Linked DNA regions of Lytechinus pictus. The protein of the gene in region 1 interacts with the protein of each later gene in a pairwise test. Links are inferred from orthologs where the notes say so. Each region holds a gene or a part of one and is shown on either strand. Other genes may lie near its edges. The genes, in order: zinc finger protein GLIS3-like and suppressor of fused homolog.

Region 1 (17,302 bases):
ATGGGTACCTGCTCGACCGATTCTTCCCAAAGAAGAAATCAACCAGTTGAGCACTTGAAATGAATAAAGAGAGAGATACATTTCAGAACAAAAGGTGTCCTAGTGATTGAAAACGGTTTCTGTCATCTGAATCCCTTTCAGAGCACTGTATCCCAGGTTTCCCCCTTGAGAGCAAAACATACTCTGTATATCCAGATGAAGCAAATGTTCATCAGTGCGGTCATTTCTTGAGTTTGTAAAGATATTAGAAGTACATGTAAGCCCATCTAGCTTTCCAATACCGTCTGCTTCCACACTAGTAATGCCAGCCTTCCAGATTTCAAAGGTTCGCCAGACGTGCTGGTACTGCTTTGAATTGCCTCAAAGACCAACCAGGCCATCAGGACTTGCAGATTTTGGTGTTGATGGGTGATTCTTGATGATGTTTCTTAGGTGTCAAGGAATCTTCAAACCAATGCTTCTCTTCTGTTTGTCCAGTGGATCTGTGGATATCTCTGGATCACCTTGAAGAATTTGGAAGAAGACCCCTCTGGTGTTTCCCTTGAGCTTGGATCTTGTTCCTTTGGTCATCCAGAAGAATTCATGCTTCAATCAAATTTTGATCTATGAATCAATTGAAGATCTAAGAAGCAAAAATAAGAAAGCATCTGGCGGTATGGCTTCATCCTTTATTTGGGATCTTGGTTGAAAGGGGATGGATTTCATGGTGAACCGCATCAACATGATAATTTCACAATTTGGGTGACAGGTTTTCACCACTACTGCACTCTTAATCAGTGAAACATGGAGTCTCTGCCTTCAGTGCAGATAGATAGTAAGTTAACATTGTACACTATAAAATGACCAATTGTTTTACTAAAAAAAAGTAAGATAAATAAAACTCAAGAATGCAAGTACTAGTGCTAAGAAAAGTATTTTTTATCTATTTTGAACTTGGAAATATATTTTACCTGAAGTAGAAAAATGTCAGTCTGATTTGAGAAACCCATGCTTATCCTGCCAAGTGCTGAGAAATTGTTCATATCAGAATCATTTGGCACATGATATTAATTTATCCAGACTATAAATACAATCATTTGGTCATCATTTCATTCTTGTGATTTGTGTCACAACTCTAACTCATCTATTGTACTGTTTAAATAAATATAGAATAAATTCTACTGTCAGCTTGGGGGAAGTGTCTTGAATCCAAAACTTTTTTTTCCAGAAAACTTTCCTAATTACTACAAGAATTCTTTTAAGGCAACTCTATCGATCCATCTTTTGTGTTGTTAGGATTTTCCGCTTCATCACATTGCACTTTTACTAGACTATATCAAAGCTCTCACAAAAAGAATAGAATGCCGAAAAGAAAAGAATGCCAAAATGAAAAGAAACTATTTAGGGAAAGGGAAACGTTTGATCATCAGTAAGATGTGAACACAAGTCCACACAAGGAACAAACTTGTCAGAATATGTAAGCATGATGAAATACATGAGGAGTTGTTAAAAGGATGACACCACATTTGCTTCGGCAACAATGCTCCGGATTTTATTTCGTCTAAGATATAGGGTTAGGGTTGTAATAGGGTTTTATGATAGGTTTAGGATAAGGTATATATTGTTAATTCTGGGGTTGAAGTTGGTCATTCGATTAATGTGTGGAAGTTGCAGTGGAGCAATTGCCACCGGAGCCTTTGTCATGAAACCACTGTAGGCCTATATGTTTCATTTCTCTTTCACATTGATGTATCGCTATACAAGTTAGAGCTTATCTGTTTTATTCATATGACACCCATGTTTATCATGATCTTTCAAATGTCAAGTTATTTGTTCTTTTCATCCACCTCTTTTACACCTTTGTCTCATCTGTTTTATCTTTTTACTGGTTTAGTGGTCTGTGTTCAAGGTCTTGGTGTCTCAATTTCACGGCCAATCAGGTTGTCTCTCCCAGTGTCCATAAAACTTGAAACTTTTTTATTCGTAACTTGCCCTGAATGGCATCAAAACTCCTGGATTGTTTATTTGGCGAGCGTCTCGCCCAACTCTATTCATGCCCCAGTTGTGCTGCTCTGAACATAAAACATGACCTAGATTATAATTCATTTTTGTTCATCAATCGTGGATTGAGTTTTATTAGATTGCTAATGACAATCAGACATTCATGTTCATTTTACAACATCTCTGTATGTTTAATGATTTCATGCACTAGTAACGTTTTTGCAATGGTTGTCATGGATACTCTATATACAAATAAAGATGACATCATATTTGGTGAGTTTTGTAGTTTATAGGCCTTACACTGTTCTTGTTGTGTAGATGTTCTTTGGTTAACCCATTGGACACTGAGCCTGCATATATGCAAGCTGAAGTCAATGGAAAACATGTGCTATAGTGAAATCAATCAGTCTCCAGTGGGTTAAACATTATTTCTCATCAGGTCCCTCAGAGAGGAGCAGAGCCTATCAGTCCTGTTGTTGCTTAAACTTTCAGGCATTTATGATCTGGTGTTACCAAAATTTCCGATGATGTTAATGGTTTTGATGTTAGGAAACAAGCATTGATGCATAAAGTAGTCTGGATCATGCATAAGGATTTCTTATAAGGATTTCTTTTCATCTGAGTACTTTCTTTTAGCAAGTGAAGACAGCCATTTAATACAGTTTTATGTTAATTTTTACCCACCCCCCCCCCCCAAAAAAAAAGAGAGAGAGAGAGAGAGAGAAATTAGGGAAATCTTGGGCAATGGGGGCAGGTCATGGACTTCAGTAAGTGTGAATTGGAAAGTGTCTGATCAGGATTTTTTACTTTATTTTTAGAATGCCCCCCCCCCTCTCTTCATAAGATAGTTGTAAAAGCAAGGATTTCTATTATTTGACTTCTAAGAGTGATAGTTTTTAGAATTTTGAGAAATTTGCCATATTCAGTCCCTTAAGGAGCTTCTTTTGGGGAGTGACTTATTGAAGGTTTTGGCTTCCTCACCTGAAGGACTTCCAACCACCTCAAGATGGGATGAGTGTTTTCAGGTGTGACAACTTTATTTGTTCACAATCTTAAAAGGACAGCTTTAGGGGTATTAAGAAAGCCAGAGAGGATTAGAGTTTGTGGTTCTTAATCCGTTAGCATAACTGTTAACAGTTAGAAAATTGGATCTACCTGTCAATGTCGGAAGAAATTTTGGCTATTTTCGGGTGTGATCCATTGAAACCACTTTTCATTGGTAAATTCTTAGATCTGAACAATTAGAAAAATACAAAACAAAACATGTGCACATGTTGGTATTAATACGTTTTCATTTATTTGATGCAAGATAAAAGAGCGCTGTAGATAAAAATGCCTTGGGCAATTGCCAGCCGGGAATTGAACCCTGGACTTCATGGTGTAGTTGGGTGCCTTAGGCCACATGGCCACGCACCTTGCCAGATCTGTTTTGTTTGTTTTTTTGTTAAATGCAACTTGGAATTTTCATTAAAAAAACAATAATTATATGATTGTCCCTTCAATTTGTTGATCTGATTCAAACAATTTATGTAGTTAAGTTTTATTGACATTCTGCTAAAGTGTAGGCCTATTTGTTTGTTTTTAAAGAAACAGATAACATTCTAATTTCAATGTTTTGGAGATAATCTATTATAGATTATCAAGCAATTTGAATATTTCTGAATGGATTAAAATGATTAAAAGTGATGGTTTTGTTTAAATATTTCATCCATATGAAATATATTTTAAGACCAAATGAAATAATATTTATGTTAACAGTTTATGTGGGGGAATGTTGGCTTTGTAACTTGAAGAGATTAGAACTCATATATGTAGTTGTGATATCCCCTTTCTCCCTGATAAAAAATGTTTTCCTTTTGGAAAGAAACCCCCATGATCAGATTCTTGGCCTCATCATGAAGTTCACCCCCAAGTGCCTTTGCTGATTGAGCTATTTCAAATTTAAAGGGGAAGTTCACCCTTATATCAAGTACGTTTTTATAAAAGCAGAAAAATGTAAGAAACGGGTAACGATAATGCACTGCAAAAACTCCGGTGTTGATTTAACACCAGCCCGGAATCTATATATGTCCACACCAGAGAAGTGTTAAACAACACCAGTTTCGTTTTGGTCTAACACCAGAAAGGTGTTTATACAACACCAATTAGTATTAAAACAGCATCGGTTTGATTCCGAACTGGTGTTTTTTCAATACTTCTCTGGTGTGGACATATAGATTCCAGGCTGGTGTAAAATCAACACAGAAGTTTTTGCAGTGTGGATATATAAATCCATCGGAGAATAACAAAATGATTTTAAGATTTTTGAAGTTTTAGTTTGATGTCACATCCAAGCTGCTCCTCCATTATGTCATGTGTTCAAAATTCCATGAATTGTTTTTTTTTTTCAAGTAAAATAAATAAAAAATATGTTTCTGCTGTTGGTCTAGATTTGAGACATGCGACTGACATTGCTCTGATTTACTTGTTTGTTTCATAGTTGTATTACAACAGATATGAGGTAAAGCGTGTGGAAACTAGTTCCTATAGTAATAATGAATTGATAAAATAAGCCATTCTAAAGATGGGTTTAATAGGGAGATGGCTAGTTGTACATTTTTTCAGATTTTTAAAAATCTTCAAAGGTCTTTTCTTTCCCTTGTATTCTTTATGTGCTTGGGCCTCCCTTCCCATAGGTTCTGTAAAGATGGAACTCTATTGAACTGTTTGCTATGTCAGCTTTCCAGCTTGTTGACACTATGTTGAAACCAAGCTTAGGTGATGCTATTCCTGCCTCACAAAATACAGATAAATAAACCAAAAATGAGATGGTAGCAAGTCGAAAAAGTTGTATTCTTATCTTGATTTAGATCTGCGCTCTATGGTGGTTTATTTATTGTATGAGAGTAGCTTTAAGATCAATATCCATATTCTCTTGGGAGTGGAGTTGTGAATGATTGATAAATGTCATGCTGCTTATAGCCAGGTATGGCTCGATCCATCCCCACTCCCTGCTGTGTAACGAAAAAAGATCGTCAGCCTTTTGTCAGCCATCCTTATCTCTTAGTGTGTATCTGATGCGACTTATCGATTGTTTTTAATGATGACTTAAACGATCCCTGAAAGCATGCTATATTGACCTCTGTAAGCTTGCATTGATGATCTGGAATTATGAAAGAATGTTTAGTTGTGAAGTTAGTAAATATTGATTCCATCTCTATTCAACAAGTAGTTACAAGTCGAAAGCACCATGAACTACATGTATAAAGTAACTGCAAGTTGGCTTTGATCTGTATGAGGGCCTATATGCCAGACCACAACTCCCTGGTTAGACATAAGGTGGTTTCAGACTGCCTGAAAGTTTGTCAGTTCCAGGTATTCTCTGATCGGGAAATTACCCGATCAGAAAATACCAGGTATTTTGGTAATGTGAAAGTAAACTACGCGTAATTTCCCCGAAAGAAAATACCCGCTAAATAGTAGGTACTTGGGGAAATTACGAGAACTTTCGCGGGGATTTTTCCAAGGTCGCAGGTATTTTGGCAATGTGAAAGCAATTTACGGGAACTTTTAGCCCAGCGTGTCATTGGGCGCGGGCGCCGTGGGTGGCTGCTGGGCTAGTGGTTTTGAATCTCGCGCCTTACTTGCTTATTAGACCATACTGCGCATGCTCCTAACTTCAGGAATTTATCCCGAAGGGTATGTTTCGGGGCGGTGTGAATGCAGGAATAATAAATGGGTATTTTTTAGCCTAGACATGTTCTCGTAATTTAATGGGGATTCTTGTGATCAAGGTGGTTTGAAACCACCTACTGTAGTCATTTGGCCGTATACAGACCCCAATGAAGTTCAGTTAGCTGTTGGATTTAAAATGAGATAGCTAAATACTTTACTCCAGAAAATGATTTTTTTCCTAGTTATAACTCTATGATCTATCTACAATTTTATATTGTCGAAATTATGTTCTACATACTTAGAATGTTTCTTTCCAATTAGTGATTCAAGTTATACATGTAGTACATTTTCCCATCGTACAAGGTGTGTCACGATAAACATAATCATTATCCGGTGTTTGCAAAATATAGAAGAAAATATGATTTGAGATTATGTAGCATATTTTTTTAGAGAAAGCACATATGCACAAAACAGGGGCATGCACCTTGGAGAGATTTATTTTTTCCCCTAAGCATTGCCTGAATTTAGAATGTTGGAAAAATGGAGAGATATGAAAATTGAGATGAGAGAAGATATTTCAAAGATTTAACAATATGTAAAGAGAAGAACAAAGTACAAATTGGATGGGGTTGATAATTTGTTATCAAGTTGTCAAAATTTGGCAGTACATTCAACAAAAATAGTCATTCACTGTTAAAATGAATTATACATTTAAAGTTTATTGGAGCTTTAAACATGCAGCATTAAAACAATTTTAAGGCTGTAATATTAAACTTGATTGGAAAATTTTTACACCAGTTATTCCTTTTCCCGTGACTGAGGAAGCCACATTGACTTTGAGCTTTGAAATGTGAAGAGAATTTTGTGGTGATACTGTAGTCAATGGGCAGAATGTACAGGAAAGGGTCTTTTCACTAAAAAGCACCTGCCATCCACCTTTTTTTCTAATTATTTTTTTCTCCTCTGACCTTATTTCTTCTTCTTCATATTCTTTCCCTTCTTTATTTTCCTTTTCTCTCCTGTGTTTGACAACATTTTCACTGCCCCCCCACCCTTCCCGCCGTCTGGATTATTTTTTTCAAGAATTCGCACTGGTCAAAATGTTTATTACACTTATCTAAATGGTGACACAAAATTTGCTCCTGCGACAATTGCTCCTGTCTTAATATCTCAGAAGGCATAGGGTTAGAGTTAGGATTGTAGTAGAGCTTTTGGTTTAGAATGATGTAAAGATTAATACCCCTTTCATAAACCCAATAAAACCCAATTATGCGGCTAATAGCAGCATAATTTGGTCGTAAAATCAGAGGAGGACAAAAGTTATCCGCATTATTCTGATGCTGCTATTATCCGCATAATAGCGGCATCGGGACAAGATTTTGCGTTTATGAACGTATTTCCAAATAATGCGGATAATTGCCATGGTGCGGTCACAAGGTCACCCTTTTCCAACACAACCGCATCGGAGGGGGTGTGTCCAGTTGTCATGACGATTATTCGCCTTTTTGAGGACGGGCGCTCGTAAAAATAATGCGGATAATTTTCGGAGTTTGTGAACGCAATTTTTATTGAATTATCTGCATTACTCTTAGGCGGCTAATTGGAGGATAGGTTTTATTGGGTTTATGAAAGGGGTATAAGATTAGGGTTTATCTAGTTTTGGAGGTTAGGTTTCATGTTTTGCTTAATGTGCAGATTTTCAAACAGAGCAATTGTCACAGGAGCAAAAATGTCATGGAACCTTTTAAAAAAGGACTGAAGTATAGGCCTACATGCAAATTGTATGGATGGGAGGATAACTGACTTTCCTTGCCCATGAGGTGGGGTGGGGGTGTACAGATACCAGTTCACCCCCCCCCTCCTAAGAACCTTTCTATTCTTCAAGATACATGCAAGAGAGATAAATGGTGTATGCATCATTCAGAATTCAGCACTATGGATATTTGTTTGATATAATACTATCCTGTCTAAATGGGAAATAAAATGTGCTAAGAGGGAGTGAATAGAACTTTATTCTTCTTAAAAAATGTATTACTTTGAAGTATATCACTTTCTTCTGACATTATATTGAAATGGATTGTAATATGCTATTTGATGACTTAATAATAATAATACTTACATTTATGTAGTGCTTAATACTTTGTTTCTATTGAGCCCTTTAATACATTGTAATTATTTTTACCCTGGAAACTAAGCATTTAATAATCACTTTTAAACCAAATAATGAATTTTAATAATAAATTTGAAACCGAATTTGCCATGGCATCAATAATCATTGTGTATTGTTGAGATATGAATATCATACTTGTGAATGAAGTCCTTTATGAAATGCTCACATACCTTTACCATTATACAAAGCATTTCTTGATCTTTGATCTTGATATCATCAGATCCGGATTGATAGGACAATTCATAATTGTATTGACTCTCAGATAAGACACTCTTATAAACATTTGAGAATCATGTAGACTCTTGGTGTGGACTTTGCTCAGAAATATGATGTATGTCAGAAGTATTTTGGGTGTTGATTCTAATATGTTCTTCTCTTCGACTGCCTTTTTATGTTGCAGATGGACGATATGGCGGTATGGAAGTGGTCATCACCAATGCTAATGATGCCCAGTCGATGCCCAGCCCAGCTGTACCAGGTACCACCCTCAGACAGAACCGCTTCCGCCAGCCAGGAAACCACCAGAACCAGCAGCAGGGCTTCAACAATACAACTCATCACCGGCAGGGCACGTCTGAGAGGAGCATGTCACCAACGGCGAGTGATATCTCCAGTATCCGCTTTACACCTCGGAATCCTGGGCAGGAAGGAGGACACCATCCCCCTACCAGCGCATCCAGTGACAGACACCATCTCCTTGACGTGAAGCAGGAATGGGGCAGCAATCGTCAAGGACATAGTGGTGGGCCAGGATCTCAGGCAGGAAGTGACGTTGCTGACCAGACTCTGATGCCACCAGGTTCAGCCATGTCTCATTACGCCAGCAGCTTCAACTCCCTCTCCCCATTCCCCATTGAAATCTCACCATCAGGTTCCAGTTTTGCAAGTCCTAGACATTCTGCGAGGTCGTACTCTGCCTGGGGTTCGAGGAAGCGGGCACTGTCTCTGTCTCCCCTTTCCGCTGAAGGCATAGATCTGAACTCTTTAATCCGTACTAGTCCAACATCCCTGGTGGCTTATATCAACAGTTCAAGAGGGTCATCTGCTTCAATATCACCGTTCCAGGTTTTTCCGGGAGGCGATTATGGTCACCTGTCTGCTCGCAATAGCAGCAGTCCCATGTCACAGGTATCTTCATTTGGGATCATCCAAGTGTCTGCAGCTGGATCTGTGAATGGAGACAAGATGCCTCCTCCTTATCAACAGCCAAAGCAGGTGCCACAGCATTATGCAGCCACAGACCCACAGATCGTGACGCAGCAGATGCAAGCCATGGAAAGCACAAATACCATGACCAATGGAACAGGGATGAACAGTCAATTGATTGTGCAGCCACAGGAGGAAGCTCTACAAGAATTTTCAAACAACTTCCCCCAATACCAGGTGTACAAACAGGAGCCTATCGAGCAAGGCTTCAACCAAACCTCAGGCTTTTCGCAAGGGCAGGAATATCCTCAGGGACAGTTCCAACCCAGTGCGGAACAACCTCACCAAGTGCCGCCCCAGCACCCGCACCCACCACAAGCCTTGCCTCAGCATTCCCCTCACGCACCGCAGACCCACCCCCAGCAAAGTCCATCCTTCTCTCAAAACCAACCCTACTCCACTTCTCAGACATACCAACAGAACCCCACCTTCACCCAGCCTTCCACCTACCCACCCAACAACTATCCTCCCATTCAGGGCAACTACAATCCTCCAGTCCCTGGTCAGTATGCATCGGCACCAGGACACCTCCCAACCATGACCACCCACCCACTCCCGGCCAACATGCCCCCTCCTCCACCTTACCATGCCCAGCACTATGAGTCCAGTGCCAACCACTCGCCCCCCATCATCAACACCAACCCCCACGGTTCCCCCATCTCCACTTCCACCCCCAAACTCGGCTTGGAGGTTGAGGAGAAGATATGCAGGTGGATCGACTGCAATGCATTCTTTGAGGAGCAAGAAGAACTTGTCAGGCACATAGAGAAGGTGCATATCGACCAGAGGAAAGGGGAAGATTTCACTTGCTTCTGGCAGGGATGCACGAGACGCTTCAAGCCTTTCAACGCTCGCTATAAGCTTCTCATTCATATGCGTGTACATTCAGGAGAAAAACCAAATAAATGCACAGTGAGTAGACACTTCAACTAATTAACCTTGTCTTTACATGAAATTGATATCTTATATACTGATTACAAGTCTTCACATGGCACAATACTGTATATTTTACTCTCTCCAAAAATAAGATATTATTTAGATTAGAATTTTTTTTTATTTCTCAAATTTGATTAGCATTTCTGGTTTTAATTATAAAGGTGTCAACTATGTTCCGTGTAGTCCTACATATAGAAATTGCTTCATGAGGGAAGTTTTCATAGTGGTCATTAAAAATGTGGAGCACATTGCGATGTAATACACAGGTATCTATTTGAGCATATAAGTATATAGTCTGTGATAAGGTTCATCTTTATTCAGAATATTGATTCATTGAGGAAGCCATCTTCTTAATCAATTTTTATTCCACCTGTCACAGTGTTAAAGGAATAATTCTGCCTCCAAAAAGGTTAATTATTTGTTATAAAGCAGCAGAAATTGTTATACTTTGCTTCTATAAGCTTTGTTTCTTAAAACAAAATACTCAAAAGGAGGATGAATTCAAATAGGAAAGAAATATGATTTCTAAACAATCATACTTTCATTGTAATTTTGGGAAAAATAATAACACTTCTCTCGATATATGTGCCATTTTAAGGACAAACATCCAAATGAAAAAAAAAAAGTTAGAACACCTTACCAAATGAAACATCTTTTAATGTTTTGCATGAAGATGGGCCAGGTAACTTTTGAAATAAGAAATTGTGTTCTTTTTTTAAATTGGTTTCATTCTTTAAAGAGGAACCATTTAGAAAATACAAACAACCTGTACTGACTGCACAGAAACGTTGTTAGCGCTAACAATGCGCTAACAGAGACACTAATACAGCCGGTAATGTGGCAGCGATGCCTAATGTTGCAACAATGCATTACTTACACATTGAAATAAATGTTTTGTCTTCAAAACCCGAAAGATGTGACTGGGCTAACTGTTAGGCTAACAACATTTTTTTGTGTGGCTGGCACTGTTCTTGTGGTTTCATTAATGTTTCAAATTAAATTTTGCCCAAGTATTTCTGATGGTTGAGATACAAAATCGATGCAACAATCACTAAGTCAGTAGATACGATTACCGAGTAAACTTTTCTCTTCACTCATAATAAGTGGACGACTTTACAGGGCTTTTCTGCGGAAATCATAAAATTCAGCTGATCTTAATATCTGTGCACCCTCTCCCCAGGGTCCTTACCTTCTTGCACCATCTGTTGAATTGCTCAGATGTGACAGAAATAGAAATTCCTGAAAAGATGAAAACTCTTTTAATTCTTTCTCGAATCTGAGCTGTCTTGTCCTTCCATTCATTCACTGCTTGTCAGTTTATCACCTTGCCATAAATCGACTGCCCTTTTTTGGCGCCAGTGCCCGATGCCTCGCTAGTTTGCAATTTGCAATTTCCCCTGCTCTGCTAAAAAAAAAACATATATGTATCTCAAAGAGAACTACTGTTAGGACCACAAATACAAGTTCAATTCGTGAAAATTAATGTTGATATGTTATAATCTCAATTTTTCTGTTCCATGCAGATTTCCTTTAATATAGTGAAATAGATGTCTTGCAAATGCTATCTATATCAATAAAATGATGTTATTTCTCCTTTATGGAGATCAAATAAAGTGAGTTAAAAGGTCCTTACAACAGCTAGAAAACAATAAAATAAAGCAATACATTTGAGTTAGATATGATTTTTCAGTACAGGGCTCTATAACATAGAGCCTAATGATATGTTGTGAGGCTATTTTTATGATTGATTGCTTCGAGTGATAAATCATAAAACCTGCCCCATGATCCATTGCGAAGCTTTCTGCGACTGGGTCTGTCTTTGAATTATTTAAACCATGGTCGTTGTCCTGATGGAGTTCAATGGTTAGAAGCTTTAGATCCGTGACTTTGACCTTTGCCCTCTCATTCTGAAACTGGGTCAGCGCTAGACCAGTCCTTGTGTGATGTCATCAGGTTTTAGACCTTGACCCTGAGTCCGCCAAGCTCGCACCTGTCCAAAACTCTTCGATCATGACAGTCTTTCTCCAGCATCTGTACAGACACAGAATGTGTGTGACAAGCCACTCCAAAACCAACAATAAGTTGCCAGGGAATATTCTCTGTAAATAGCCAAAATAGTGATTTGGTCTCCAAAAAGTAAATTTTGAAATACACTTACATGAAAGGGTAACTCTTCATCTTCATAATGTCAAAATTTGAAGATGTAAAATTGAATAATTGGCGAGATACAGGAGTTTTTCTTGACTACTTGAAAGTTTCACAGTGAATGCACCTTATGCAAATATAACCCCAAACTTCAAACCTTGTTTTCTCCCTATTTGTTGAAGATCTCACTAAATTTCTTCTACATTCAATCAAGAACTTGTATGGGTTGATCAATGTGCCAAGTTATATATTGTTTTTGAGCTCAGGATGTCCTCATTTTAGCTCAATGAAAAAATAAAAAAATACTTTGGGTGACTTCATGTCCCATTTATGTGGCCTTATTTCCCCAGCCATTCAGCCACAAGTTTTACACACACACATCAAACATGACAGATACAATGGCATACATTTACGTAGGCCTGCGTGATCCTTGGGTCTTTTGCTAGATCATAGATGATGTACTCAAACTGGGCTACTGAACTTGGCTTTTCAGTCCACACCCATTGCACCCCTCCTCCAGGTATGCAAAAAATAATAAAGCATCTGGAACTGGAAGAAGAAGAAGATGGCGGTGGTAATGAAAAAATGACTTCTGGGTGAAGAGAGATGAGCAAGGACACACGGGATTGAAAGTGTGAAGACAAATAAAGATGTTGTCTTGTCTTATCAGATGTCTCTTACCTTGACCTTGCGACCTGTGACCCCTGACCCGAGATGTCACATTCAGATTATGTTCTTCTCTTGTGCATCTCCCATACTCCTCCTCATCCTTATCCTACCGGTAGGGAGTTAGGGGTGCGCTCATGGGACTTGGGAGGTTGTCTCGAATCAAGCTTCTTGAAACTGTGAAGAGAATAGCGGCATCCGGAATCCTCCCATGCATGCCATAAAAAATGTTTGAATAACATTTATTTTTCTTTTTTGGTATGTCAAGGACAATCTAATCTCATCTACAAATGCAAAGACTACCATACTGCAAAAGCTGTCATACTGTATTAATTTTTCATCTTCCATTTGGCTAGGAAGCTAGTACACATTTACAAGAGTAAATAAAAAAAAATTGTTTTTTAATAGGTCTTATGTTAATTTGTTGAAATAGGCTATTATATGTAGTATCTGCATTGAAGGTTGTCATTTAATGGTGATAACAGTAATATGCAACATTTAGTCTATGGGGCCTCTTGTACTTAGTTTAATTTTTCTAATCACGTTCATTTCATTTTAAATTCATTCTCACAATGCAATGAAATTGACAGGAAAAGAACATGAAACATAATTCATATTTAGATGTAAAACAGATCAATATATCTTATTCTGACTGAAATGAAAATGATACAGATATAACAAGAAATATAGAAATGGAGACAAACAAAATATAAAAGAAATGGTAATATCCAATTGTACAGATCAATATGCACGTAACACATTTCTCGAAATTCCAATGAATCAGCATACATGTACCAAATATCGTCTGAGTCGCTTGGTCTTTATTCATCATATTTACACAAAAATTTCAAAACAAAAACATTGATAAATTACCTAACTTGTTTCACTGGTCCTCTTGCAACCTATGTTGGACTTACCTTAATTCCTCTGCAATACGACCTTACCCTTAACTGAGAATAAAATGTGACTTTGCTGACACATGTATTTAAATCATGAATCACTCCAGATTTTGCCACAGGTTCAAGTCAACTACATCACTTGGCAAAGAGGAAAGAAATTCCCCAAGGGTGCAAATATTTTTGTCTGATGAAAGCAACATATATTTCTCCCTTCTGCATTTGTTGGTCTTTTTTTTAAGGGATGGGGAGCCTAGGGAGCTAGAAAGGTTATTCAGAGGTGTGAGTTTTTCTTGCAGTTTCATAACTTTTACAAATGTTTAGAGAGAAAAAGAGTCAAGATTGGGTCATATTTTATTATGAGTGCACCAAGAGTTGGGGTGTGAATTTATAGAGTATGTTTGACCCGAAGCAGACAGACGAGCCTGGCGTTAGCACTGGGAGGAGAATTGAGTGTTTTTCCCCCAAGAGGTCGTTTATTTGCTGATTTGATTTGCTGATTTATGTTGCATTAACATCAATTATTTAAAGACTTGAAGGTAGAATGTGACATTTTAAAATACATGTTGAAAGACATAGATTATGGAAAATGGGGATATCTTTGGCTGTTATCACATCAACTACTTTAAAATGGTGTCTGATGTGTGCCTTTTTCCAGTGTTTTCATGAATTGTTGCAATTTTATTTGATAATGAATTGCAAGAATGTGCATTAATTTTACCATATCACTTATCAGACATAATATTTCATAAACCTGTGAAAAAATAAATATATGTCAGGGGAAAACAAATGATATTTAAAAAAAAAATTTGGTGGCTAATTTTCACAACTTACTGCCTGAATCTGCTACAGTGGATAAGCTTAACAGTGAATGGGGATTTGACAGGACTTTTTTCAATTTCCAGGGGGGTGTTTCACACAGATTTAAGTATGACTTGGAGTTGCACTTAAATGCCGACGTGCACATGATATCTAATGCGCAATCAGATTGATGGATAGGCGGTAGTGCGCGTCCCATGCGCATAATCTGACCAATGTAGTGATGTCTTCTATACCGTACGCAACTGGGAATTTAAGTGCGACTCTAAGTCACACTTAAATTTTTGTGCAACACCCCCCAGGTCTCTTTGGGCAATATCACCCCTAGCCCCTGTGTAATTTTGTCCCTGATACATGTATGCTTAATCATCAAGCACGAACCATTAAAAATGAAAATTTATGCTGATAATATCCGCATAATTTGGTCGTAAAATCGGAGCAGGACCAGAGTTATCCGCATTATTTTGATGCTGCAATTATCCGCATAATAGCGACATCGGGACCAGATTTTGACTTTATGAAAGCATTTCCAAATTAATGCGGATAATTGCCATGGTGCGGTCACAGGTCACTCTTTTCCAACACAACCCCATCGGAGGGGGTGTGTGCAGTTGCCATGACAATTATCCGCCTTTTTCAGGTCGGGCGCTCGTAAAAAATAGTGCAGATTATTTTTGGAGTTTGTGAATGCAATTTTTATCGAATTATCCGCATTACTCTTAGGTGGATAATTGGAGGATGGGTTTATGAAAGGGGTAATAGCAGGAGCTGTTTACATGTGATATCACAAAGTTTTTAAAAAAATATTAGAAATTCATAACTCTTTATATTTTTGAGGAGTTTCACTTCAATTCATTGATATGTTCCACTTCCTGATAAAACCAACCTGAAAAAAACCAATCATGGTCGACTTCCTCCTTAAAAACCAAAAAAGTCCAAAGATGTATTATCTATGGAAAGCTGATTGTTAACGTAATATTTCACATTAGATGTTTGATTTTCTGCTTTTTACACATTTAAAATATAATTAAACCTGTATGATCTTTAAACAACACATTTTCATCTTAATGAAAAGGAGGGTTTTTTCATAACAATTTTTTTATTAAAAACAAACCAAGAAAACCTCGGCAATAATCAGATGCAAACAATCAAAGTCGTGATAAGGCATCACTTCCAATTCTCCTTACGAGCAGGATGCATTCCATATTCCTCTTAAAATGACTGGGATATCCCTGAATATTTGATTTCTCTGCGGTCTCTTAATCACTTTTAAGTAGAATTTGTAGCGCATGATTGGGGGCTTGGATCGGGAACAGTGGGGACCCCTCTTCGGATTTGGCCACAAAAGTTCACCCCTGTCATGTTCAATTTGAAGAAAATGAGTGGCAAAAATGCAATTCCACTGATTTATACCCATCGTTATGCAGACCTGCCAACCAGTACGTTTTAGCCGTATTTAGTACATTTTTTTTTTTTTTAAAACTAAATCGTAATTTATTGAGAAAAATAATCTCTATATGTCTCTATTTCATAAAACGTGCACAAATATGGTTATTAGATCAATGTAATTTCAGGTAACTTGTTTTTTTTTTCAATCATTTTGTTCAAACCAGGGTGAAGATATACACATGTTTCAAAGCTTGAGCGCCGCGATGAGCGAGTGCGCCAAGCATTTTATTATGAAATACACTTTTTGGGGAAAAATACAGTTTTTTTAATCACAGAATACAGTTTTTCATTCCCAGAGGTTGGCAGGTCTGCGTTATGCTGTGCCAATGCATTAATTCTCGAGTTGGGGGTTTAAACTTTATTGTGGAGAGAAGTGCAGAATGTCTATATTCTTGACATATATTCTTTCTGATAATGTATATTATTGGTTATTCATTCATTCAATGGTTTATTCAATAGACATGTATTGCAGTAAAAAAAAACTGAATTACACATTGCAGCATCCATGGTTAAAGAAATACAGATACGATTAAATTGATTACAAAACTGTACGGAAAATTTGCACAGTAAATTATTGATAAAGATTAATACATAATAGAAGAATGCATTGAATTAATTGATAAGAAATCAAACGAACTAGCTGAATATAAGCGTTAATCGTCAGAGCTCAAAAAAAGCATGATCTGCCTACTAGGCGAGCAATAAATAGTGAATGGAAGGGATTGTTTTTTTTTTAAATAATCTCCCCTCTTGGGCACTTTTTTATATCCTTGTTAGGTGAATTTAATTCTCTTGAAAGCAATCGTATCCGGGATAATTCAATAGAAAGAATTTAATGTGCAAAAGCTAGTTATAATAAATGCATGGAAATACTGTACATGCAAGTTTGGATGCCTATTAATCAACACTTGCAATATTAAGATCTCAAAATGTACAGAAAGATAAAAGAATGTCTCATTGTGGGACCTTAGTCTGCTGGGCAAATTACCCTTCACTTGAATTAAGGGTCTGAATGTGCAGCCTACTCATGCCTTGTGTACTGAAGGCTTGTATTGGAACAGCAAGTTTTGTATGTGCTAGTCTTTATGTGGAGGCACACTTGTTGATCAAAGTTCCAATCAGGGTCTGTGCCTGCAGACTAGTGTGACCTGCCCCCCCCCCCCCCCCCCCCCCGATGATTAGATGTCCCGTATTTATATAAAAGTCTGATAAAATAGATGTATTATATGTTTTAATATGAATGGTTGTGTCCTCACTTATGCTAAGTTTAGCGAGGCAAATTGATCTTGATCTGAACCGGTTTGGAAGATCGCTTCCAAGATCGCTTTGACCGTTCTCATTACACGTTAAACTAGTTTCCAGGGTACTACTTTTAGGAGGG
Region 2 (17,439 bases), on another chromosome or scaffold:
CAAATTCTTTTTTAAGAGTCATACTCATAAATCTGAACAAAGCTTTGATTAACAGATATGTTTTCTACATACCTCCATGGGGTATTTGATACTAAGAAGACCTCGATGTTCCTCCGCCTTTGGACCGATGAATATATCGCCCTCTAGGGCACCTGCCATGACACGTACATGCTTTGGTCGACCAACACTTCAAAAATAAAACAGAACTTATAACATTATTTAATCAGTAGTACATGTATGGTTTCGGCTGAGCTGGTGACAAAGGGGAACATAGCAATGACAGGACACTATATAGCTAGGTGAGTTTCACTGCAAATAAGTGCAATGGGGACGAAGACCCCATTTAAATGATATATCATTTAGTAGAAATTTGAGATTAATTCATGGCACTTTTTAGTTCCCTCAGTTTAATAAAACAGTGATAAGGGAGCTGAGGGAGGCAACTATGTTATTGCAATTTATGTTCATTTGTAACTTTATTGCAAAAAGACGAAGGGGAATAGAGCAATGATGTCTATCGCTTTTCTTGGTCCATTCTGCATATATTGTTTACAACCATCTCCTTTAACCCTAAATAGATTGGGCTATTTCGACGCCTAAGGAGACGGGGGGGGGGGGGGCTGAATCATACCCCCCTTATGATCTCGGCCATCGATCGTGCGATCATGACGAAATTGGCATGCCCATTACCCATGGCATAATCAACAAATATATTGGACCAAATTCTGCAAAAAAATATCTTTACTAATTAATTATGCTAATTGTGAGAGTTTCACTGCAAATAAGTGCAATGGAGACGAAGACCCCATTTAAATGATAAATCCCTTAGTAGAAATTTGATATTCCAGTCTGATGGTCAAGGTACCTGCTAGTGTCAAACCCTCCCTTAAATACAATAATTGAAACAAAACGCGAACGCAAAAGAGAAAATCAATAGATGACACGTTGACAACAAGATGGCAAAAATAATCACTCCAGTCTCCAATCTCATCCTTTTTATTAAAAACATGTTTCAGATTACTTTTTGCAATGGAAAAATAGTCAATCCTCCCCTTAACAGCTGGAATAGGGCGGGGGGGGGGGGGTTGAGGGTGAAATCAATTAAATGTACATCACATTCGCATTACTTTCTTTAAGACTAGTGAACTGTAAAGAGTACAAAATGACTGAAAGAGTAAACAGTCATGACTCATTGTCACATGGTATAATGCATGGACCTTTATTGACATTTCAAACAAATGATGAGCAAGCTCAATGCTCTTTAGTCTTTAGTATTTCAATGTATCACTTGACTGGATACAGTTTATAATCATTTGAAGCCAAAGCTTTATTACCAAAAAGTTGAATTATCACTATGAAAAGGTGTCAAAAATTCCCAGACACTTATATTTGTAGACAAAAATCTTGAATAGAACGTGACATTATATTACGAACAAGGCACGTTTCAATGTAATCGAAACCAATGCTCAGTCTGAAAATAATTAACTTTCACTTATTTTCTGAACAATTGAATTCACACACTATATCCCATACCTTTGAAATCTAATGTAACTGCATTCTTCAAATTTACCTGACATCCATTTGCATATAAATTCCAATGACTCTATTTATAATTTTCAGGCTGAGAATGACATTTGATTACCTTGCAACATGTTCTGTTTACTAAAAATTAATGTTCAATTCATTATTTTTCTCTTCAAGCTCATCATCTCACTGTTTTGGTATAGATTTGCATGTGATGAGAATTTCGTATTCTTATTTACACTTTAAAAGTTATAATTAGTTACTCACAAGTTTGGAAAGTGATATTTTGGAATTTGGTCACCAGCGAATCCCGCCTTGATAACGCCAGAGCCCTGCAATCAGAAGAAAAATATTGAAATACAAATATGACAATAAGGATTGTAATTATTGTATGTTGTGTTACAGTTTCAGTACTGAATAATGAATTAAGTACGGTATACACTCATGAATGGGAGTAAGTATGCAGTCATGAATGAGAGTTTTAACAGAAAATGGAATGATAAATATGCGCGATTTAGGTAATAAAAAACAAACAAACGAATGCTACCAAGCAAGATCAAGAAAGATTCATGAGCAATCACCAATGCCAGCGCAGCTAGCTTAGAGAAGTGAAGCCAGATTCCTTGGAGCAGAAGGCCGTGCTGATGACCTGAATGAAGCCAAGCCGACAAGTGCCAGCACAATTATCCCATATGAACGCAAATCGTACTTGGACTTTGGTACTCGTACTTGTGTGAATTGAAAATGGACAATCCAGAAACAAATGGGAAAACTTGAAATGCCAGACTTCTTTTTTTAGCATCCTTTAAAAAAAAAAGGGAAGAAAAAAAAATTACTGCCCTTCTTGTACATATGTGACGTTTATTTGGCGGTGCGTGCAGTGACAATTTATTCAACCTAAAGAGCGCCATGAACATCACGTGCACACTGCATTGTATAAAAAATGCACAGAGTCGAGTGATGTTCTGACAGGTACTACCCACATGTACCAACTCTCAACTCTCAGCAAAACTTTTCCAGCAAGGAACAGTTAATTTCACAAGGAATCTCCCGGTGCATGAAAGCAAACAAATTTGCCCTTGATGAGGTAGTGAGGTCTGAACGTGCAGAAGACCAGCTCAAGCAAAGGTCTTTTTTGGAAGACTGTCTGCATGTGAAGTAAACACGACTGCTCAAGGACATGATGAAGTGTCTGACATGCGAAAGATCCTGAAGGTATTGTTGAGGACGACATGCATCACATGGCTTTGAAGTTCTTATTTCAAAAAATTCTAATTTTAAAAAGGTAGAAAGATAGTTACCTACAATGATACCTCAATGATTCATTAAAAGAGGACATTTTATTTTAAGATGCCAGCAAAGTTTAAGAAGCAATTTTTAAATGATGACAGCTTTCATTATATATCCTTTATACAAAGCAGTAAGACCTTTTTTCTTTGAAAATCATAATTAAAGGAATGAAATTGATAAATTACAAAACAATAATAATATGTTACTGTCCAATTTTGCATTGTGTACTTTCACAGGTACGGACTGCAGGCTGAAGAAGAAGACTAGCAAGCTGACCATGGGGTGGAGCTCTCTTGGCATTTCTAGGTCTGGGTCCTGTTGCATAAAAGTTACTAGTTACTATCATGGTTACTTTACCATCCAATGGTATCTACCATGGTAACAATGCTAATCAGCCAATCAAAATCAAGGACTCAAAGAAAGTTGCCATTGGATGGCAAGGTTACCATGATACATGTAGTAGCTTTTATGTATTAAAGGGGGCCCTGCCCGGGGGGGGGGGGGGGCACTCACATATTGGCGGTACGGGGATGTGCCGCTTTGATGGCCCCTTTTTCAGACCTAATTTTCAGTTCTCTAGATACTCCGAATGACAAAAGTTTCGCAAGACCCCCGTTACGAAACATCTCAGTTCCCTAGCCCTGCCAAAATTGTCCAGCACGAGCACCGCATGGGAGAGCTGTATGCATGGCTTCACAACTTCCTCCGCTAAAAGCTCTATGCACCGCTTGTGCACGTATACATAGCACTAGTATGCACCTTACCTACTGTACTGCGATCCCGTTCTGTAGACCGTTTTTCACACCGATCGGTATATATCTAGATCCCAAGATGGCCGTATTTTACCTTTGTGGTCAGTTCATTAGACCCCCATTTCTGGGTTTTGTGAGGCACGCCCCTATCAAAATATAATTTGAGTGCCCCCCCCCCCCTGAAGGCCCTGAATCTTAGACAGTCAGAGTCATCAGATTCAGAAACAGTATCTTGAAAAAGGTACATGTACTACAATATGTTCCCTTTTTTAAGTAGTAAGTTATATACCGGTATCTTAATCTTTGCTGAAAAGGTTGAATATATACCTTTAAGAGTTTTGAGGTGAAGCTTTATCATATTGATCAATGTTGCAAAATTAATCTATATCTTAAGGAAAATATTCTTAGTCTGGAAATGTTCTTGAGACACATCAGCATGACCATAGAATCTAAAAATGGTCATAGATGCAGAGCTATGAATCTTAAATGTGAATTTTTTTAGCCTGAAATCCTAGTTTTGTTTTATTGGAAAAACATACCAAAAAAATCATCATTTTTTAATACATGTTTCAAAAATCCTATTTTGAGGGGAATAATCCTATTTAGTGTCACTTTCCCCTTAAAAATACAAAAAAAAGGATAAAATCCTACTAATTGGCAGCTCTGATGGTTGCTAGCATGTCTCTAAACTTATAATGAGTTTCTGGTTGAAAGTTTAGTTGAAACATTAATGTGTTGCAAAATTATCATCTTAGAAATTTTATCTTCTGAAAATTAGGTCCTACATGTATTTATATCATATGAGTCACACTTTTTCTTGAAGCACCAAAGCATGAAATTAAGATAAAATTAGTAGAAACATTCAATATTCCGATATTCATCTATAAATTATGTAATAAATTCTTAATCGTAAATATGACAAGAAGTTATGACATGAAGCACATTAGATGCCCCAGTATGAAACTGAACCGATTCTGTCAACATTTCAGATTTTCGGTACATGCACAGCTGCAAGTTTTAATGTAGACTTTGACCTATCACATCACATCACGTACAGAAAAAGAAGGAGTTCTAGTGTACTATTTTCAGTTCTTCGCTTCAGGTATTGATACTTTATCTAAGTTAGACAGTTTGAACTGTTGTCACTTTATGTCTTTCCTTTGTCTGCATGTAGACCTACATATCTGCTAGGTTAGTAATAGTATAGTAGTGGATTGTATATTACTATTATTACCTAACACATATCAAGAATTCCATTATATTAAACACAATTATAAAAAATAGATCCATTCTCATACAATTCATCAAACTATCACCATAAATACACAAACAGGCGCGTATCCAGGAGGGGGCCGACCCGGCCCCCCTATTTTTTTGGCAACCTGCAGAAAAAAGTGTACTCTTTAATTTGAGAGAAACGATGAAAAACAGAAAGAAAAGTAAGAGGTATTATACCCATGATGTGTAATTTACAGCCTCGTAACAGCCGGCCCAACCCCGAAAGGAAACAAGAAAAAGGTGAGGGGAAGAATTGGAAAATAGACTTTACATAAAAAAAATTTGCTCGCGCTTCGCGCTCGCATTAATTGCCTGTGTAATGAATGTCATTCAAGAGGATTAAATGACACTTAATATATCCAGTTCTGAAATCAATTTGCACACAATATTTTAGCTCGCATATCCAGCTTTCATTATTTTGTTTGATTTACACAAATTGTTAATATTTACCAACATTTTCAGCTCGCACTGCGCGCTTGCATTGTTTTATTTGTGAGATACCTATCCTCTTTGGAAATTCTTACCAAAATTTCTCAAAATGCCCCTTTATCATGTGAGTATATAAAAAATTTAAGCTCGTGCTTCGCGCTCGCATTTGTTTGAGACACACAGCTTGTTCTAAATAAAAACGTGTTTAGACTGTCCAGTTTTCAGGTCGGAATATCAAACATTTTGAGCTCGCGCTCCGCACTCTCATTATTTAATTGGTGATACTTGTATCCTCTTAATTAATCACTAAAAACAGTCGACCCTAACTGAGTCCCTTATCACGTTACTATATTAAAATTTTGCATTGATAAGTTGGATACTTACCTTTGTTCATAATTATAAAAACTGCTCAGAATCTTCAGGTCTAAGGACATAATATATTTGAGCTCGCGCTTCGTGCTCGCATTATATACTAAGACCAAATGAAATACCTTATCTAGTTTATAACAATAAAAGCTAAAACTTCAGTCTTTAGTTAGGACTACCCCCTAAAAAAACAAAAAACAACAGATTTATAGTGGGGTTAGTGGCCAATCGAGAAAATTGATATTCAATACTGCCATTTCATGGTCTTTTTTTCTTTATTCTACAAAGAAATAATTTATATTCTTTGAAAAATAAAGTTAAAGAATGAAGCAACCATTTTTTAAATACAAGAATTAGTAATATATCTTTTGATCTTTCATAGATTTTCAGTGAAATTAGCTAACCAAAAATGCTATCAAATTCACTTTGCCAATTTTTTTTTTTAGCCTCCCAATATTGGGGGTGTGGTTAATACATGGCCACGGTTTATATTCCGAAAAATACGGTACCTACAAAACTATTATGTAAAAACGTCCGTAACGTTGGCGAAGAACAATAAGAAACAAGATGGCGGTGTTAACATCGGGCAAGTCTCCCGTCTTTTCATATTTTTCTCATTTTTTTATTCTCTTTTATAATAAAATCGATAGCATAGAAATGTCTGAAATGAAGTTGTATCCCATTTACATGATTTAGGGCCCTATATCTTTTATAAGTAGAAAGTTTCAGGTTTTTTGGCGGTACAAACAGATGAATGGGATGGAATCCCTGGCTCCGTAGAGAGTAAGCATACGTTAGTAAAGATTTTTACTCTCTAGGAGCCTCCTGGCTAGTGACAGGTCCTTGACCCTGATCATGCTGATGACACAGACACGTTAATCCTTTTATTCTTTATTTGATTTTTGGCTTTACGTTATAAGTTTTGCTCTAGAAAATGTAGTCTAATTTATTTTTCATCAAAATAGTCTTACGAGACACAACCCAAATTCTGCTTGAGTGCTGTACAATATGGCTCACTGCCTTAATCAGCTTTGATTGTACAACGCTGATTGTACAACGATTGTACGAGGCTGAATGTCAAACATTCGTACCGTTGCACACAAGAAGTACCATCCAAAATGTAACGTTGCAAGGCTGTACTAGGTGATGTCACAATCACGACAATATGATTTAATTCATTGTGCTCAGTAAAAATGAAGATGCAATACGCGTTTAAGCCTGCTGGCTAAATGCGCAATGCTGCCCAAGGGCAAGGTCATGTGGGATTTTGCTTTTCGCTTTCAATATTTTTGCTCCCTTTTCATTGATTACTGCAGGGAAAAACTCTGTTTTTTCTTATTTTCGCTAAATTCTGAGGCGTTGTACAACACAAATAAAGAATATTCTTATTTGCGCAATGGTGCGAGATTTCGCATTTAGCGAAAGAAAGAGGCCCTCTATTCAACTCGGCTAACGCCTCGTTGAATAGAGCATCTTTCTTTTTCACCTCATGCAAAATCTCGCACCATCGCGCTCATGTCTCATCATGGCCACTCACACTAGTACGAGGTTAGTATTTGTATACTGTTAAGCAAGGCTCGACATTAGCGGTGGCCCGGGGCCACCAGAAATTCACTTCGGGCAACCATTATTGATAAAATGTTAAGTTTTGGTGGCCCGAATCGGGCAACCAATAATTTTCAAAGTAGCGTAATTTTTCTCCCGATTTTGCACGCATTTATCAACATTCTACAGTTCAAATTGCAAGCCAGTTCGTCATGCGCCCTTTTTGTTGATCTACACACAAATACACACACTCAAAGTTTGCATATTAGGCCTACAGCTATAGCATACAGTAGCTATTATCCAGCCAGCCGCGCCGGCCAGCTGGCGTGAGTTTGCATGAAGCCACTGCATACAGCTGTGCTCTAGATCTAGCTCAGCCTATTCAGACTCTGGGAGCTGCGATAAAAAATGCTGCTGCTAAGAAATCTTCCACAGAACTTTGAAAATCTAAGTCAAAGTCACATTTTACACCAATGAAATGACATTCTACAGTCTATATTACGAAAATTTGGTGTACCCTGATTATTTGCAAGCATTAAGAAGAGGAATTATGACCTCTCTTTTGACTACAAAAGACCGATTTCCAAATGAATTAATACACATAAAAACACATAGGCAAGTACATCACAGTCCCACATGTGCATTTGTATGTATGTTGATAATTGGTTTCTTTCGAAGCTGTGTCTTTTCTAGCCAAACATGAACAGACAGTTTCTTTCTTTCTTGTTTATAAATGACTTCTTAAACCACTCTTGAGAAAGTAAATACTTTGGGAAGGCATTTCATCGATATGAAATGTGAATTTTTCCAACATTTTGGCAAATATAGGGAAGGACTTTTCCCACAGTCACACTTTTTTTCCAGATATAACTTTTGCCGTTTTCTTATTTTTTTTCTTTCATTTTTTTTACAGTGGTTAAACCATTTATACCCCTTCCCATTGAATATGCCTAATAAAAAAATATGTTTCTACTGAAAATTAAATAATACAAACTAAAGGATATAAAAATAGAAATGTGCCATTCCCAGAAGGTACAGTAAGTGAAAATTATTTGCTTGGCTTTTAATTATATTCCAGTCAGAATAGACTGTTGCCACAGCTGTTAAAAAAACATTCGTAATGGCTTCTTAATTTTCCCCTTTTCCCCATGTTTATATCAATTTTGTTTAATTCATTTTTCTTTCATTTTCTTTTCTTTTTTTTCTCTCTAATTTTTTTTTTCCCTGTTCTTTGTTTTTTCTTTCTTCATTTTCTTTCTTTTGTTTTATTTCACTTATTTCTTTTATTATTTTTGTTTTCTTTTTGTAATATACTTTTTGAAAATTATTTTCATTTGTTTCCCCCTTTTATGCATTGTTCTAATTTTGCAGCATATTTTTCTGTGATTTTCTCCTGCTATAATATGCTGCAAAAGAAAAAACAGAAATAAACTGGATTTGGGGCCTGCATAATCTAGATTTCAGGATTCAAAGAGGAAGAAATGAAAAACCATTGTTTTGTACATCTATCTGAGTTTGCTATGCATTATTTATTTACTTTACCATTATGAGTGTGTGTCTATATGGAGATTAAAAAAAAGTCCACACAACCTGTGAACAATAAAATTCATTTATTCTCTTTCAATCATTTCATTTTTACAACGATAGAAACAATTTATATTTTACCACAAACCAATTAGCAAAGTAAAATAACAGCAAACAAGGTTTACATACAATACAAGATGATAAAGTGAAAGTAACTTAGTGGTAGTGGCTGCAGAATTAATATTTCAGAAGTTTGTTTTATTAATTTTTAATGTTTTTCTTTATATTTTTCGGGCCACCAAACTTTAATATCGGGCCACCAAAAAAAATTATTTGATGGTTTTGGTGGCCCGAACGGGCCACCACCAAAAAAAGTTAATGTGGAGCCTTGTGTTAAGGGTTTAGTAATTCACAGTCATTAAACATTTATAGGTAGACCAACTACACGTAAATCACTCGATCTGTATCTCTCAAATTCAGTGATACACATTAAAGACATGCATACTGCACAGACACAGCCAGGTGTCAGTGGATTGCAGTCTCTCAGCTCAGTCACACATTCATACGCACAACCGCCCGGTCAACAATACCGGTATGTCACCGACTCGGCTCAGCTCAGCTCAGCGAGCAAAGAAGTCGCAGAATACAAAACTTAACATTTTATCATAATCTACATGGTACATTGTAGTAGCTTAATGAAAATCTTGTCGACGAATCAAACTTACATTATCAATAACGACTGGTTGATTTGCAATAACATCATAAGACATATTTAGGGATGTATCTCACACGCCCAACTCAGCCAGGAAAACGATCAATTAAACATCACAGATGGAACTGAATAATGACTAAAGTTAGCTCTTAATATGGGCGCAAATGTTATTTTAGCTGAGGTGCTATTTTATTATATTATTATTTATCATAGATTTGTAGATTAACTATCTATTTATACTTTTAAGAAAATTCAATTAAAACTGAACATTCAACAACTTAGGAAAAACGACAAATTTAAGTTGATTGCTAACAATGAAATGTTTTATTTTTCCCCTTCTTTGAAAGCCTACAAACTATGGGGCTGTTACATGTATGGTTTTACTGCGATATACCTTAATTCTTTTACATAATATTCCTTCAAATATGCTCAAAATTTTAGTGAATCTACTTTTTTCGATCTAATGTTTAATATAAATTGAATTTCGCCCAAAGACAACAAAATATTTGCATCTTTTCTTAATTTATTATTTTTTTCTCAAAAATTATAAAGGGAGTTTAGATATACATTTCAACAGCCAAATACCTTAAACGGGATCTCTCAATCCCACGCTTAAAATTGTTATAAAATCACTAAAAATCAACAGGATTAGACTTTGAACTCGGAACATCCGTTTCAAGAGAAATTTTGGAAATCTCAAGTCACTTTTGATGAACATCTGATGCTTTGTTAACGTATTAATTTATATCTCTTTTCTTAAATGGAGCAGCAGCAGAGCGGAGCGGAACACGGAACAGCACCTGTGCCTGCACTCCCGGCGGGGCTTGACGCTGTCTATTCGGCATGTCGGCGGCTGTATGTTGATCAACCAAATCCTTTGCAAGTGACCGCCGTCGTGAAATACTGGTAAAATAAATTTAAAAAAATCTTTCCCAAAATTTCCACTCTTTGAGTATTCAATCTATACTTTCGGCGGCCTTATCGTGAAATTTGTCACCTCTTGTCGTGTGTGTCGGTGTGTGTGCGATCGTTGTGTACAATTATTAATTAAGTCAATGACAATGGGAGTGGAAAGATGTCACCACCGCTGACGAAATAAACGGCAATGAATGGACTGGTGACATAAACCACGATAATGCCATACTTTCTTGAGAATGTAACAAACAAGTGTGGTGATATTAGCCGAGTCTGACTGAGAGCTGCGGGCCGGAGCCCGGGGGCCGATTGTACGAAAGGGTCTTTCCAAGGACCGTCTTTCGTGTCGCCCATCTTTTATGATGCGCTTTATGGGGAATATTTGTGAAACGTATGATTGACAAAAATTTGTTAGCTTGCATTTAAATCAATTTGTATCCGATTTCATGATATAGATCTAGATCTATCACATCATTTTATAATATAAACAAAGATTTTGTTTATACTTTAACAAATTAATAAAAATTTAAAATATGTTTGCAGGTAATTCATTTAAAATGCGTTTCACATGGTGCATCATAATAAATGGGCGACACGAAAGACGATTCTTGCAAAGACCCTTTCGTGCAATCGGGCTCCGGCCCGCAGCTCTCAGACTCGGCTAATATTAATCTTCTTTTTTTTAATGATCACCACACCTGAATTTAAAACCAACAGGTACACTACAAGTCACAATTTTTTGACTACCTGTTTCAACCAGAGAACAATACATTTGGTCCACTGAATCTATTGCTATCCGGTTGAAACAGGTAGTCGAAGAATTGTGACTGGTACTGTAGTTAGTCATATCTATTCTTATACCCCAACCATGGAGTTAGCTTCAGTCTTGCTAAAACCCATCTCACGAAATCAGAGACAGAGGTCCTTACATACGTCCCCTCCACTACAATTGGAAAAAAAAACGCGAATATAATAAAGAGTGTAGGATAGTTATTTTGTCATTTTCCTATTTTGTTTATTTCATGTTGTGTTTTCTTCAGCTGTTTTACATTTCTGTTCAGTCTAGACTCGAGTTCATTTGCATTTTTTTTCAGCACTGCTCTTGCTCTTGCAGTCTGAACTTATTATTTGGGTTTAATGATATTCAGTTGCCATTCATCATTCTAAAAAAGGGTTCTTAATCTTGACCAATATGTTTTCATGAATAATTGCACATAGGCCTATATGTATTCAGAAATCATGCCCAAAATCATTAAGTGTGAGTGACTGATTTTGAACCCCAAATGCGTTGACTCCTCTGGCAATACCCATGTTTCTTCCTGATGGATGGCAAACTCTTCCATAAATGAACGGCAACTGAATATCATTAAACTCAAATAACCTAAGTTCAGCCTGACACCAGTCATTTCGATGGCATGGGCTTGAATCCCACCGCTGCCACAAGTTGTAAGGTGTAAAATTATAAGTTCGGGGTAGAAATGATAGAAGTTCGAAGGAGCAAACACAAATTATCCAATCAATCAGCCAAAGGGAAAATAAGTGAAACTGTAGAAGACACAAATAAATCGAACAGAAACCAAAGAAGTCTGATAGTGCACTGATTTATTCTCTGGGCCACTTTGCCTCAGTTAAACTCAGAATGATAGTATAATTTACATAAATTTATATTTAAATTAGAAATAACAACCAATCAAACTAAAGATAATGGAAGGTTTGAACTTAAATGTAAGAACCTAATTCAAAAGATAAACCAATATGGAATGAGATGAAGATGATAAAGGATATCTGGGTGATTATGTAATAATGGAATTGGAGTCAGGTCAGGGATGGAATGAGTGGAACACCTGAATAGAGAATAGAGAAGGAATGAAGATGACAATTTAAGAAAATGAGAGGAAAGGAATTCATTGTGGAGAAGGATAAATGGCAACTGAATATCATTAAACTCAAATAATCTAAGTTCAGACTGCAAGGGCAGTGCTGAAAGGAAATGCAAATGAACTCTAGTCTAGACTCAACAGAAATGTAAAACAGCTGAAGAAAACACAAGTTAAATGAAATAAACAAAATAGGAAAATGCCAAATAACCATCCTACAAGAGTAAGGAAATAATTGATAAAAGAGATATATTGTAATTAAATTTCTATATGTACATGTTATGTAAATAATTTATATTGTCTGTTTTTAAATTGGATCAGCACACGTCACACCATTTATTTTTTGTTGGGGTCGTAAAATTCAGCTGCTTGATTGATATAGAAATTCATTGTTTTCATGTTCAGAGTCTCAGAATAATTTGACTAGGCTGGGTCATTACGATTATTTGAAATAATTTAGATATAAAAAAATGGGCGGGTACATTTTACCTTTTAAAAAAAATGTTTAAAAAGTTATATCACTGAAAACCCCTTTAAAATTGCAAAATATTCCCAAATAATTCATATCATACTGCTTTGAAATGAATTCAGAATTTATGTTTCAATAATAATTCATTCTGATAATTGAATGGAAAATGAAGTAAAATTATCTCAGATTTCTGTCCAAACAGACGGAAGATCACATTTTTAAGTCTTGATTGAACAGTTACCAAATTGAGCATGTGGGACAAAGTCACATGGTTTGGATGGTTTTACAAAAGCCTCCCCCACTTTTTGCAATAAATGTGTATAAAAACGTAAAAATAACCATCTGATTGTAATTTTCATGTGGTCAGCACCCCCACTTTGGGCTACCACCCCCCCCCCCACAACTTTCAAAACCGTTTAGCAGCCCGTTAAATTCCATGATGATTGACTGATTTTAGCATTGTTATGTCACAAAACAATATATTTATCTAACAATAATTTTGATTCAATGATACGATTGTTGCATGCATTAGAGTATAGGCTACTGTATTCAAGGTCTGGGCCCGTTTCTCAACACCTGGACAAGTTAGTCATATCTTTATCCACCAACCACGGAGTTAGTTCCAATCTTACTAAACCCGTTTCACGAAGGGCTTCCTAACTAGAATCCCTTGATATCGATACTATCGGTAGAAAGAGCAGACGAGACGTAGCCTTAGTCACAAAATAGCATAATTTTTGAAAAGCAAAAATGTGATAAAACTGCAATTATTGTGATTAATTTGGAAATACATCTAATAAAAATAATAGCAGAGGCAAAATATGAACCATGCATACTTAAACCATGAAGACTTGAGCATCTAATTGCTGAGAAAATCAAATTATGAATATATCATTTCATGACTAAAAATTCACATGGGGACAATGAGATGGGTATCCCCGGGATAGTAAATTTTGATAGTTTACGAAAGTAAACCACAATTGTTATCTTTGTAAAATAATGATAATTATACGTTTATTTATGGTTCCAAACATCATCAAAATATAGTTTAAATTATTTTTTTTAAATTTTTTTACATACCGAAACACACGATTTGACAAATTCTTTGTTTGAAAACGACGAATACGAGTCCAGTTATGGATGACCTGCCGTGGTAGAATCTTTATCGATTCAATTACTTTACTATTTTAAAATGAGTGGTTTTGCTGCGTTTTACCAACAGTTTTGATAGTTTCTGTGCATAGCAATTATTATTGAATGATCTATCACACCTGTTTTGCAATGTAATTTCAACTTCTATGAATGATTACGTAAGATTACAATTTTCAAATTTCGAGGCAATTTTGCATGTCATAGTCTACCCACGTGATGCCACTACGTCATTAAGAAAGAAGTTATGACAGGTTCGGAGGTGTCATAAATATTTAGTGAGGTTGTTGTACCCGATCTTGGTAAAGAGGGCTTCGTGAAACGGTTAGCGGACAAGTAGCTCACTATCTCCGATTTAGTCAAGAAGTTAGACTTATGACGGTGTTGAGAAACGGGCCCCTGTATACCAATGTAGTGAATCCAATAATCCTAACTGGTTGAATGATTAATTCTCTTTGATTGACTATTACAGGTTAAATGGACCAGACCCACTAGACTTTATCAGTATGTACAGTAACCCAGGAGAGCCTGGTCATGGGATCCCACCCCATTGGCACTATGTTAGCTTTGGCCTCTCGGATCTTTTTGGTGATGGCAGAGTTCATGAGTGAGTAGAACATTTCATTGATTTTTTTTCTTACACATTTTTGTCTCACCTGCATAGCAGAGTGAGACTATAGGCGCCGCTTTTCCGACGGCGACGGCGACGGCGGCGGCGACGGCGACGGCGGCGTCAACACCAAATCTTAACCTGAGGTTAAGTTTTTGAAATAACAGCATAACTTAGAAAGTATATGGACCTAGTTCATGAAACTTGGCCATAAGGTTAATCAAGTATTACTGAACATCCTGCCTGAGTTTCATGTCACATGACCAAGGTCAAAGGTCATTTAGGGTCAATGAACTTAGACCATGTTGGGGGAATCAACATCAAAATCTTAACCTAAGGTTAAGTTTTTGAAATGTCATCATAACTTAGAAAATATATGGACCTAGTTCATGAAACTTATACATAAGGTTAATCAAGTATCACTGAACATCCTGCATGAGTTTCACGTCACATGACCAAGGTCAAAGGTCATTTAGGGTCAATGAACTTTGGCCGAATTGGGGGTATCTGTTGAATTACCATCATAACTTTAAAAGTTTATGGATCTGATTCATGAAACTTGGACATAATAGTAATCAAGTATTACTGAACATCCTGTGCAAGTTTCAGGTCACATGATCAAGGTCAAAGGTCATTTAGGGTCAATGAACTTTGGCCAAATTGGGGTATTTGTTGAATTACAGCCATAAATTTGAAAGTGTGTTGGTCTAGTTCATAAAACTTGGACATAATAGTAATCAAGTATCACTGAACATCCTGTGCGAGTTTCAGGTCACATGATCAAGGTCAAAGGTCATGTAAGGTCAAAGAACTTTGGCCACGTTGGGGGTATTTGTTGAATTGCCATCATATCTCTATAAGTGTATTGGTCTAGTTCATAAAACGTGGAAATAAGAGTAACCAAGTATCACTGAACATCTTGTGCGAGTTATACTAGTTTTAAAAATCAGCACTGCTGCTATATTGAATCGCGTGATGCAGGTGAGACGGCCAGAGGCATTCCACTTGTTAACATCTAATAATCATGATGGTTTTGCATGTTTGAGCATAATGCAGTTCTAGAAGAAATAACAAATAAAGGGGCTATAAATAAAAAAAAAACATGAATGTTTGCATTGTTTAAATGTTATTTTATATAAGCTGTCCTGAGGCTATTTCATCAGAGTTGCCTGAATGGTAGAAGTCTCAATTTCTAAATACAATATCTAATGCATTTCTGAAGAAAAAAAATGGAGACCTGGACATTAGATTTGTTTCAAGTAATGCTTAGTATTTTATAATACAATGTCAGTCTTGGATAAGGATGTTTTCATTTTTGAAATAATAAGAATCAATAATACATGTTGAAAAAATACCGGTCAAAGACTAGATCAAATGACTTCTGATCAAACTTTACTTGACACTAAAGTACCAAGTTTAATCCATTTAGATGGAAAGATATGATGTATTACCTGATATGGCTGCTGTGATGATTTACATGTTAAAATCCCTATGTTTAACTCTCTCTTTTAAAAATAAAGAATACCTACAGGTCCCAATGGGCCAAGTGGTTTTGGCTTTGAATTAACGTTCAGGTTGAAGAAAGAGCCAACTGAAACAGCGCCCCCTACATGGCCGGCAGAGCTTATGCAAGGTCTAGCCAGATATGTCTTCCAGTCTGGTGAGATATAACATCTTTCTTATTCAATCCATTTTTTTCTTTTTTTTTAATCTTGTTTACTTATTAGAGTTTCTTATGAAAAAGAATCTCTGATATTTAATTTCAATATTTAGAAACTGATGATCACAAGTCAATCTTGAGTCCCTAAATCAATAATTTCTGTTATTTAATATGGAAACAGAAAGTATGAAGTGATTTGCTTTTAGTAAAATTCACCTCTTAACAGCAAATTTTGCATACTTGCTGTTGATTGTAATTCTTTTTTCTTTTTTTTTACAACACCCTCTTAAAAGTAAGTTATGTTCAAATCTGTGTTTAAGATATCTTCACCCTGATGTTTTCTGTACAATTATAAAATTTCATATATGTACATGTATATGCATATATTAAAAATGCTTACAAAATGTACGTCACTGGTTTTCCACGTAGCTGTGTATGCAATTTTCACTTTACTAATACTTTTATTGCGTAAAGTAACCTTAGAAAATATAAATTAACATTACAAATTCCTATCAATGACAGTGATATTTAAAAGAGGAATAACAAATGCATATCACACACCAGGGATATATTGATAAAGCATGTCTCGATGCAGTCCTAACAACATCACGGAATTGTGAATTTAATAGCACGCTTGTCCAACATGTACTTTTGTTTTCTCAACAGGCAATACTCTTTGTAATGGAGACCATGTTTCTTGGCATAGTCCTTTAGATAATAGTGAGTCTCGTATTCAGCATATGTTAATGTCAGATGATCCTCAATTACCTACTATCACAACACCACATGGAACTGTCAGCTTTGTTCAGGTAGGTCTTGAATATTGCACAGACATTTCTATGTAGAGTGATTAAGATAAAATAGAAATAAATCATATTATCATTATATAATGGGAAAATAGGCAGCTCCCATGTGATATCACAATAATCAAATGTTTAAACTTAATTCCTGTTATTCTTTGCTGGATTTTTGTTAATCCTATAATGTGTTTCTCCCATATTTCTTCTTTTCCCCTCAAAGGGGCATTGAACTCAAAACACAGTTTTAATCTCCTTCTTCTAGTCTTTCTCGTGTAAGCTTTAATCAAACAAATATTTAGTGTGAATTTGGTTTAAAAAGTATGTTGGTCATTTGATCTATAGTAAAAAAAGACAGGGATATCTGGAAGTATACTATTTTTTTCTTGACAAATTTCATAGTATGAATGTTGTAATTCTTCAATTCAATTTTGGTTTATTAAGTACATACAGTGCAGTATAAATTACACTAATGAAGCAAAGTTTACGTAGAAATATGATTTACATACAGAGATTTATATACATTTAAAAATATTAAATAT

Evidence for each region.
Region 2: the proteins of zinc finger protein GLIS3-like (region 1) and suppressor of fused homolog interact in binary tests that used the Homo sapiens proteins (3 or more experiments, as listed by UniProt). The link is inferred for Lytechinus pictus from reciprocal best matches to the Homo sapiens genes GLIS3 and SUFU.

Annotation. Positions count from the first base shown.
Region 1 is NC_087255.1:18,583,730-18,601,031, forward strand, and holds the start of zinc finger protein GLIS3-like, read left to right. Parts: upstream 1-8,193; 5' UTR 8,194-8,221; coding exon 8,222-9,922; intron 9,923-17,302. UniProt on the Homo sapiens protein: Acts both as a repressor and an activator of transcription. Binds to the consensus sequence 5'-GACCACCCAC-3'.
Region 2 is NC_087256.1:13,528,700-13,546,138, reverse strand, and holds the start of suppressor of fused homolog, read left to right. Parts: upstream 1-9,977; 5' UTR 9,978-10,180; coding exon 10,181-10,326; intron 10,327-14,302; coding exon 14,303-14,437; intron 14,438-15,960; coding exon 15,961-16,100; intron 16,101-16,766; coding exon 16,767-16,909; intron 16,910-17,439. Other genes in the region: alpha-centractin, read right to left, coding at 73-187, 1,792-1,856, 9,434-9,478. UniProt on the Homo sapiens protein: Negative regulator in the hedgehog/smoothened signaling pathway. Down-regulates GLI1-mediated transactivation of target genes. Down-regulates GLI2-mediated transactivation of target genes. Part of a corepressor complex that acts on DNA-bound GLI1.